2 linked regions of the Nothobranchius furzeri genome follow. The protein of the gene in region 1 purifies or fractionates together with the protein of each later gene. This does not show direct contact. Links are inferred from orthologs where the notes say so. Each region holds a gene or a part of one and is shown on either strand. Other genes may lie near its edges.

Region 1 (4,217 bases):
TTTTTGCGCTGTGGGATTAAAACAACAATTCTAGCAAGCAGGAAAACAGTGATAAAGCTAGTTGTCTGCCAGGCAGCTATTAATAAATTATCATGTTTTCAAGTGATGATTTGAGCATGAAGTGTTGTTTGTATTGTTGTGCTGTTTTAAAAACCAATATGAAGAGAAGTTAGCCTAATTTTTTAACTGTGTTAACTCAAAATAATTAATAACCCAGCTTTGTAGTAGGTCTGATGCTACGGCGCTGCAAGTTTTTTTTTTTCCAAGAATGACAATCTATAACAGGCTTACAAAAAAATAAAAACAACTTACTTTTTCACATTGGCTTCTCCGTTGGGAATCCTCCTAAGCTTTTTCTTCTTCAGTATCTTCACAGCCCTGCGACAAAGTGTTTCCGAGTCCAGCATTTCTTTCACTTTGCCATAAGATCCTTCCCCTAGCAGATCTCCCATCAGATACTTTCCAATCAGCTTTGCCCTCTTCCTCCGTGGCTGATAGATCACCTCTGTAGAGTCAATGCGGTGAATGAAAGTGTCCATCTCCATAAGTTCGTTTTCATTTAGATAATCAAGATGCTGCAGCTCCCTGGCACTCATGACTGGTGGTTCTACAACCACAGCCTAAGCCTTACGTGCAAAAAATAAACGTTTGAAAACTGGCTATGATTGCTGCTGGGGTGTAATCTGCTGTTAGCCTTTCAGCACTGAACCGAGGGTTTCCATTAGAGAAGTTTTAAAATGCGGAAAATGCGAAGGAGAGAAATAAAGCCTGAGAACTGACGAAAGGTAAGAGAGAAATCTAAAACCTGTAAAAATTAGGGCTCATTTTAGACAGAAACTAAAAGAGGTGCAGAACCTATTGGCTCAAGTGCTAATTTAGTGCTTTAGACTGTGCATTATGAGCTACGTCTTTGATGAGTGCAGCTAAACAGAACTTCAAATGGGAAAAAAAAGGATTCTACACTATTATTTTCTTTTCCGACGGTCTAGGCTATCGTTTTATAGTTTAATACCATACAACTTTAGGTAAAGGAAACCAGTCTTGTTTCAAGGCCTTGCAGCACAGCATTTCTGTCAAAGGTCCTTGCTGGATGTCATAGTTTCCACCCGACACATAAGTGTTTATAGTTGGATTGGATCCAGGCATAAATTGACAACCAAAGCATGCAGCAGTATCAATCCAATCCCTGGTGTCAGTCAGGCTCCAGGGGATCGACTGAACTGTCCACCACGCTGAACTGCCCTCAGGTGTCCTCCATGTCACTACAGTTTCTACAGCCTGATGTCTGAGGAAAAAGGGCAAAAAAAAATATTTAATTATCAGAACAATCACTGATTGTTTTGCAAAATTACATTTGAGTAAAAATCTATTTACACATATTTAAACACCTGGGTAAACATCTTGTGATCAGACACAGGAACATGATCCTTTTCATTAATACAAACAAAAAAAACAACTTTGTCAGAAAGTACTGTGACACAGTTTTGTTAAGTTTTCTACTTAATTGGCTGATCACAACATATTTGAGGGACTTGCTTAAGAGTTTGGGCTTAAAATGCAAAAACTGAGCTTTCAAATAGGTGGTATTCACATCTTGAGAAAGGGTTGAGGAATTACAGCTAGAATCCTCTTGTATAAGGGCTCAAATGTGGACAAAAAACCTCGGGTATTTCTTAATAAGCCGTAGTTTAACAGTAACGTGGGGAAACAACTAAAAACAACAAAAATGTGTGAACACCTTAGAGCTAGCGGTTAGCAGAAAATTTGACTGAATGAATTAGCTTTCCAGTATTAACTTCAACTTATTCGGCGTGCCCCTTTAGAACAATCATGAAAAGTTTAAAACCAAAGTAACTTGTTTGGCCGGTGACCAACTGAGGGGGTGCGGGGAGACTAGCGAAACGTCGTCACACAACTGTAGCTAACGATGAATGATGTGCAGAAGCTTCATCAGACGTTACAATTAACCAACTTCACAAGAAGACGCGCGATATTATCCAACTATATCGCAGTGTGTTTGTCTGATAATAAAACCAAACTCAGTTCTAAAACGTAACGAGCTTTAAATTTCACCAGAAGGATCCAGCTAACACGGGCTAACGGAGACGCTCAGATTCCAATGCAATTTGCTAGCTAGCAAGCTAAGCAGCTACAGTAACCGGCTCTTACCTTAATCTTTATGAAGGTTATTTCTTTGTGAGGCTTAAATACTTTTAACGTGTTCGTCCTCGATTAATCAAACGTTCCGCTTCAGTATAACACAATATCAGTAAAAATTTCCTCACTATTCGTGCTACTCTTGCCTCTCAGGTTGTCGCCATCTTGTTTACCTCCCCCCCTAGCAGCCCCAACACGTTACTGCGTCAAATCAAAGTCCTCCTCCCCACCCCTCCCCTTCTGGAGCAACAACAAAACTGACCTGTCTGCTTTATTTTTACGTCATTAATTCCCTAAAAACGCACAGTAAAGAATACATTATTTTTATTTAAAAAATGAGTGCAATGTAAGTTAGACGAAAATAAAAATAATCAAAAAGAAAATTACAGGAAAATAACATCTTTTGCATATTTTGTTGTTTCCGCAGATTTTTTTAAATTTACATTATTTTCGTATATTGTAAAAAATTACTAAATTATCTAACTTTCATTTTTGTTCCTTTGCAGTTTCAACTATGTGAATTTATGGTATTAATATAAAACGATCAGGGCTTTGTTTTGAAAAATTCATAACATTTTTTCAAATCTGTGACCTTCTTCATAACTCACTAAAGCATAAGTGAAAAATGATAGTTAAAAACTAATAGGACAGTCTTAGTATAATATGGCGCAGCTTTATATTTTATTTTTTATAAATTCTGCAAAACTCCCCCACAATTCGTTCATTTCACCTTTAAAATTAAAGCACCTTTTGTTAATCGTTGTTTTATTTGCAAAAGTAAATGTTATTGTGCTAAAACTAGAGTCAAATAGAAATGCACCGATTCGTGTTTCGAGGGCTGATGCTGATTTCTGCACAGGTCTGACCTGCTAATATCAATTTTGGCATAATCTGCATTATCTTAAAGAACTATAATTACCAGAATTTATTTTATTTCAAGACCAGAAGTAAAAAATTTGGCATGGAAAATCTGTTTGCACTTTATTGCTGTTTAAAAGGGGGGGATCTACTCTTTGGGACTCAAATCAGCTGAATGTTGGGCGATTGGCATCACCAGTCATTTATTGAGTGCACTCCTACTTGAAAGCACTTATTAAAAACTCAAGCACGTTCAAAACCTATAAAATGGTAAAATTAAAGTATTTTTAAAGATTTCAAACTCCCAAAAAATCTCATCGACAATTTTTAGGAACTATTTAGGCAAAATAAATGAAACAAAACGTATCTATTGAAACCTGCATTTTGTAACACTTTAAAACCCAGTGAGTTTGCGCCACCCCTACAACTGATGTTTTTAACTTTATCAACCTCAGATGTTCCTGGTGTGGCCAAAAGGTGTCTCTTGCTTAGCTGGGGTCTCCAGGGTTATATTTATCCCATGTAAACCTCTCTAAGGAATGGCAAACTGAAGGTCTGATTTCACTGGTCTGTTATCCTCCTCACAGGTCGCTCCAGTCCAATCGTCTCTGCTTTACGGCAATGAAGAAATGAAAAAATACCAACGAGAAAAAGACAAAAACAGATTTAGGTTAAATTTTTCTAAAGTCAGCATTTGTTAGGACTTGGGTAACAATTTCAGATTTCAGTAAGATATCTTTTTTATTGTCATCACTGCAGCATACAATGAGAGGAAGCAATAATTACAGCACAGTGAAAACATCACTAGATGCACAAATTACACAGAAGAGTGTGTTCTTATGCAAAACTGTTATATAGTCAGGAGGGCAAAGATTTCTGAGGATGCAAAATGATGAGAGTAAAATCATCACAGAAACTAAATACAAGTTTTTATAAACTGTAACACGTTACATTATAAAGCTGAAATGCAACAAAAGCGTGAGCTGTGTTATTTTTGTTTTGTGGTAAACATAAAATGTAGCTAATCTGTTGTTAATTTTTGGATTTCAATAACTTCTCTGACACGTAGGACTCAAACATCTCCACAGCTAAAACGTTCAATTAATGCGCGAGCAGACAAGAGGCAGATGCAGAAACGAGCTTTAGAAGTGGTCCTCTGTATCAGTAATACGGCCTCCGGGGATTGTTCTGCAGGAAGATAA
Region 2 (4,232 bases), on another chromosome or scaffold:
TATTTTATTATTACATATACTACAGTCACTAAGCTAGAAAAGTGAAGTGGTATGGCACTTACATTGAAATTTTTAGTGCACTGTATGTATGTCGTTTAGTGCAACAGCGAGTGCAGAAAATGTGTGCGGCCCTTTGAGCTGTTTGCATGCTAGTGCAGCAGAGCATCTTCCCATGGTTTCAGGCTCTATCCAGTGTGCTGTGACACCGATGAAACTTCGTCTGTGTGCAGTCCAGCAGTCTGTGGTGGTAGCAATGTGCTCAACCACATTCAAAGCAGCCTTTAGATTTTTCTTCATTTCCAGTGTTACTTTCTCAACTTTGTTCTTTATGGTGCCTCGTGACATTACAGTCACATCTGGTTGTAAGGTGAGGCACAAGTTTTGAAACCCTCCTGTTCGACAACACTGAGCGGGTGCAGACCTTGTACAACAAAGTTAATGATGGCATCATCCATGCTTTTTTGTGAAACTCTCTTGGTTTCCCACAATTTTAGTTGTTTGTTTGGGCCTCTGTCGTCGGTGTTCAATTTCCGCTTCAGACTGGGCGAGGTTAGCTCATTATACCTTTCCAGGTGATTTGCGTGCTTCCTCTACACAAAGAGAAGAGCAAAAAAGTTAGGTCCACAAAATACAAGATGAAGAAGAAAAAATCCCAATGCGCTTCAACTGGTTTTCTAAAGGGGTAACTGACAAATAACTACAATTGCAGAGCTCAGCTCACATGTGTTACATTTAGAGCATGACACACACACACACACACACACACACACCAGACAAACGTGTGTTCAGAACTCTAAGCCTAGCGAGACGTTTTTCAGTGTGGGGCGGGGGGTCAGCTATGACCAAAACATTTATATTCTGTGATAATTACTCCAACCCCTGCAGATATCTGCTCACTCTGAAGTTCCTTGCATTACCAAAGTTATAAACTCACTTACAAATCATGCTAAATTAACTCAATTGATTTATTGATTTTTTTTACTTGCATAGATAATGTAATTGTAGAATAAAATGGCTCTTACACATTAGGATTGGCTCGGTTGTTTGATCACTACGAGGTTCTCCATTGTTTTAACTGTCTTATCCCACTAGTCTCAACTGATCGAGCTCACAAGTTGTTTTTTGTTTTTGTTTGCTAATGTTTGGCGCTCGTGTTTAGATTTCTCCGTGCCATTTTTATGGTGGAGACCAAGTGCTTGTTCACTTCCGTGTCCCTGAGATGGCTGTGTGATAACAACCTGGCTGTGGGGGTCGAGCTGACTCTAACGTGAAAGTGCCATTACACAATTTGACATAAAAACATTAAATATACAGGGTAACACAGAAAACTGTAAAACACTTGTTTCCATTGTGGCCCTAAAAGCTCAGCAGTAGCTGAAAAAATAAAATCAGGCTTACCTGTACGTGTTTTTTCAGATTTGATGGTGAATTCTTAAAACGCCAGAAGCTCGAGGTTTTTAGGCTGGCACAAAACACAGCGCATCCGCCACGAATCGTTCTTGGAGCCAACAACGTTAAAGAGTTATTTTAAATAAGGCCAAGGATGATGAATGCATCGCTCCTCCAAACCTGCAGCATTTCTCAGGCCACTGTCATCATCCATGTTGTTAGTTAGTGTTCTTCTGGGTCTCAAACCGCGCTCCCACCGGACTCCTCGCCGCACCATTGATTTTTTTCCCTCTGTTTTGTTCCGACAGTTACGTAATGACGCCATCGACATACGTGTAATACGTGCAGTACGAGAGGGAAATGTCGAAGTAACGAGACCATTTTGAAAATGTAAGGAGTAGAAAGTACAGATATTTAGGCTCAAATGTAGGGAGTAAAAAGTTGTCAGAAAAAAAATACTCAAGTACAGATACCTAAAAAAACTACTTAAGTATTAGTACTTCCGTTACTTCCCATCCTCTGGTATTAACTCCAGAGATATTAAGATGCAATTGAATTAAAACATTTAGCAAGAAGCTTAGAAGAAATGTTGCAGCTCTACATTGTTATACATCTAAAGAGCATTTATGGAATTTTGCAGATGTATGAAAACCCCAACATCTCCTCATTTGATCAATATTATTTTACTAATTATCAATAATTAACAAAAACTACTAAACAACTATGTATCCTAACCCGATCATGAAAATCACTCATGAAATACGTGTGTACAATTTCATTCCAACATCTAAAATCAAATGTTTGAGACGAATTTTCTTTTTTAAGGTCACAGGATAAGTAAATTGGAGGACATTGTTTACAATTTTAGTATCATATGGAAGTTATTTACATAATATCCAAACTAATCTGACAGTGACTTAAACTGTTTAGATTCTTAAATTTTATTATGGGTGTTAATTGCAGAAAACACACAGGATGCACGGAGTTTCAATAGAAAACAAGGAAAAACACGCATTTGTTTAGCCAAATCAAGGATACGCTAGGGACAGCTAGGAAGCTAGATTCTAAATAAACCAGTATTATTTCACCATTCGTCTTTAGAAATACTGTAACGTTAAGGCTCACAGGGAGAGCTAGCTAATAAGCAGCTAACTGTAGCTTAGCCTAGCCTACACATAAGCTACACGTAAGCTCGCAGAGACTCGCTGTTGCGGTAACGTAAAAAAAAAACATTTTTATTAAAAACGAATGAGTGGTTCTCGATTGAGCGCTACATACTTGGCAGCAAGGTCTTTGTGAGATCCACTTGAATTCATCAGCTGAGTAAGCTCCTGTCTCACCTCGGACGCCATTATTGTGCGTCACCTGAAGTGAGTCGCGCATGCGCAATTGCTTCCCGGTATTTTCTTGGAATCTGGGATGGTTCTATGGGATGGTCATGGAATAACCACAGGAATAACGCCCCAAATCTCGTAGTTTTCTTTTGAAATAATTTATAAGACGGGTTGCTACTAAATAACTTTATAAACGTATTTCCCTTTTCTCTTTCTCATCTCCTCCTAGTAGTTAAATTGTTGCCACTGGAGGGCGTGAATACCCCTTCTCTTTTTCATTATTTTATTTTTTACTTAATTGAAAGATGCCAATGAAACAGTCAAATACATGCGTAACGGTATAGGATAAAGAAATTGCGAAATTGCAAACATGTACAAAAAACTCAAAAGAATAAACAAAGATGAAGATAATAAATACACATTAAACAATAAGTTAACACCAGACTATTGATCACATGAACACAGTGATTTGGCTATATGTTACAACGGCTTGCCTTAAAAGTGCTGTACCTTTAAGCGTAGCGTCACAGTGACGTTCTACGTGGAGGGCGTGGCCGGCCTGTGAAATGTCAGGGAGGAATGGCGCTCGGCGCGGTATTTTGAACAATCGCTTTTTCCTTTTCTTGTTTTATCTGGAAGCCCTGCCCAGCGTTAAAATCTTGGGTAAGAACGATTGCGTATTGGCTTATTCTAATTATCACCACACTTTATCTCGTAGGAAGCTGCAAGGTTAAGAATGTGTTTCATGTTGAGATATAATGTTGTGCTAGCTAGCTTGGGTTAGCAGGCTCGTTAACTTTGCTGGTACAGTTGTCCTGCCCGCTGGGTTGGGTTGGTGAGGCTGCAGCTGATTATGTAGCCAGAAAGTAGCCGAGTATTTCTCATTAATTAAAATTATATATTTGTATATTCTTTGTGTTTGTACACGTATAAAATTAAAATAACTTTGAGTGTTATTTGGTGCACAGATTCTGGGTTAACTTAATGCACCGTAAATGGAAAGTAACCGCTTTTAGCTGAACAGGGACATGTTTTGACGGAATCTCAACCGACTTCTGCGCGAATTTATTTTTCTTTCTTTATATTTGGAGTCATCAGACCCAGTTTCTGTGAATTGTTTCAAGTTTACGGAGCTGTAAAGCGTAAGTTAGTGTTTTTGTGTCATTTTCTCGTTTATTCGGGGACACCGCTGACGTAAAGTAAAAAGTAATGTCACGAATGATTTAATAAATGTCCCATTTAATACTGATTTAGAACAAGCCCACCGCAGGAGTAGAGACCGTTAGAGCAAACTGTTGGCAGTTGCAATAACTGCATCGTTGGCCCAACGTTACGTTCAGATTAAATATCTCAGGTGACAGGAGGAGGCATTATTGAAAGCTAACATTGTTTACATTGTCAGTGCGCTGCTAGAGTTTCGGACTTGTTCGTGACACACGGTTCATCGCGATTCTCCTCCTCATTCCTGTTGAAGTCGCGTTATTCACGATGAGTTCTCTCTGTTAATAC

What was found. The genes of interacting proteins can lie anywhere in the genome.
Region 2: the proteins of stk11 (region 1) and cops4 purify together in Homo sapiens (affinity purification with mass spectrometry; 4 studies listed by BioGRID and IntAct, with this or other methods). This does not show direct contact. The link is inferred for Nothobranchius furzeri from reciprocal best matches to the Homo sapiens genes STK11 and COPS4.

Annotation. Positions count from the first base shown.
Region 1 is NC_091751.1:56,737,822-56,742,038, forward strand, and holds the start of stk11 (serine/threonine-protein kinase STK11), read right to left. Parts: upstream 2,928-4,217; 5' UTR 2,170-2,927; intron 1,286-2,169; 5' UTR 597-1,285; coding exon 313-596; intron 1-312. Other genes in the region: sugp1 (SURP and G-patch domain-containing protein 1), read right to left, coding at 4,177-4,203. UniProt on the Homo sapiens protein: Tumor suppressor serine/threonine-protein kinase that controls the activity of AMP-activated protein kinase (AMPK) family members, thereby playing a role in various processes such as cell metabolism, cell polarity, apoptosis and DNA damage response.
Region 2 is NC_091746.1:62,988,499-62,992,730, reverse strand, and holds the start of cops4 (COP9 signalosome complex subunit 4), read right to left. Parts: upstream 2,801-4,232; 5' UTR 2,742-2,800; coding exon 2,668-2,741; intron 467-2,667; exon of another isoform or gene 63-466; intron 1-62. UniProt on the Homo sapiens protein: Component of the COP9 signalosome complex (CSN), a complex involved in various cellular and developmental processes.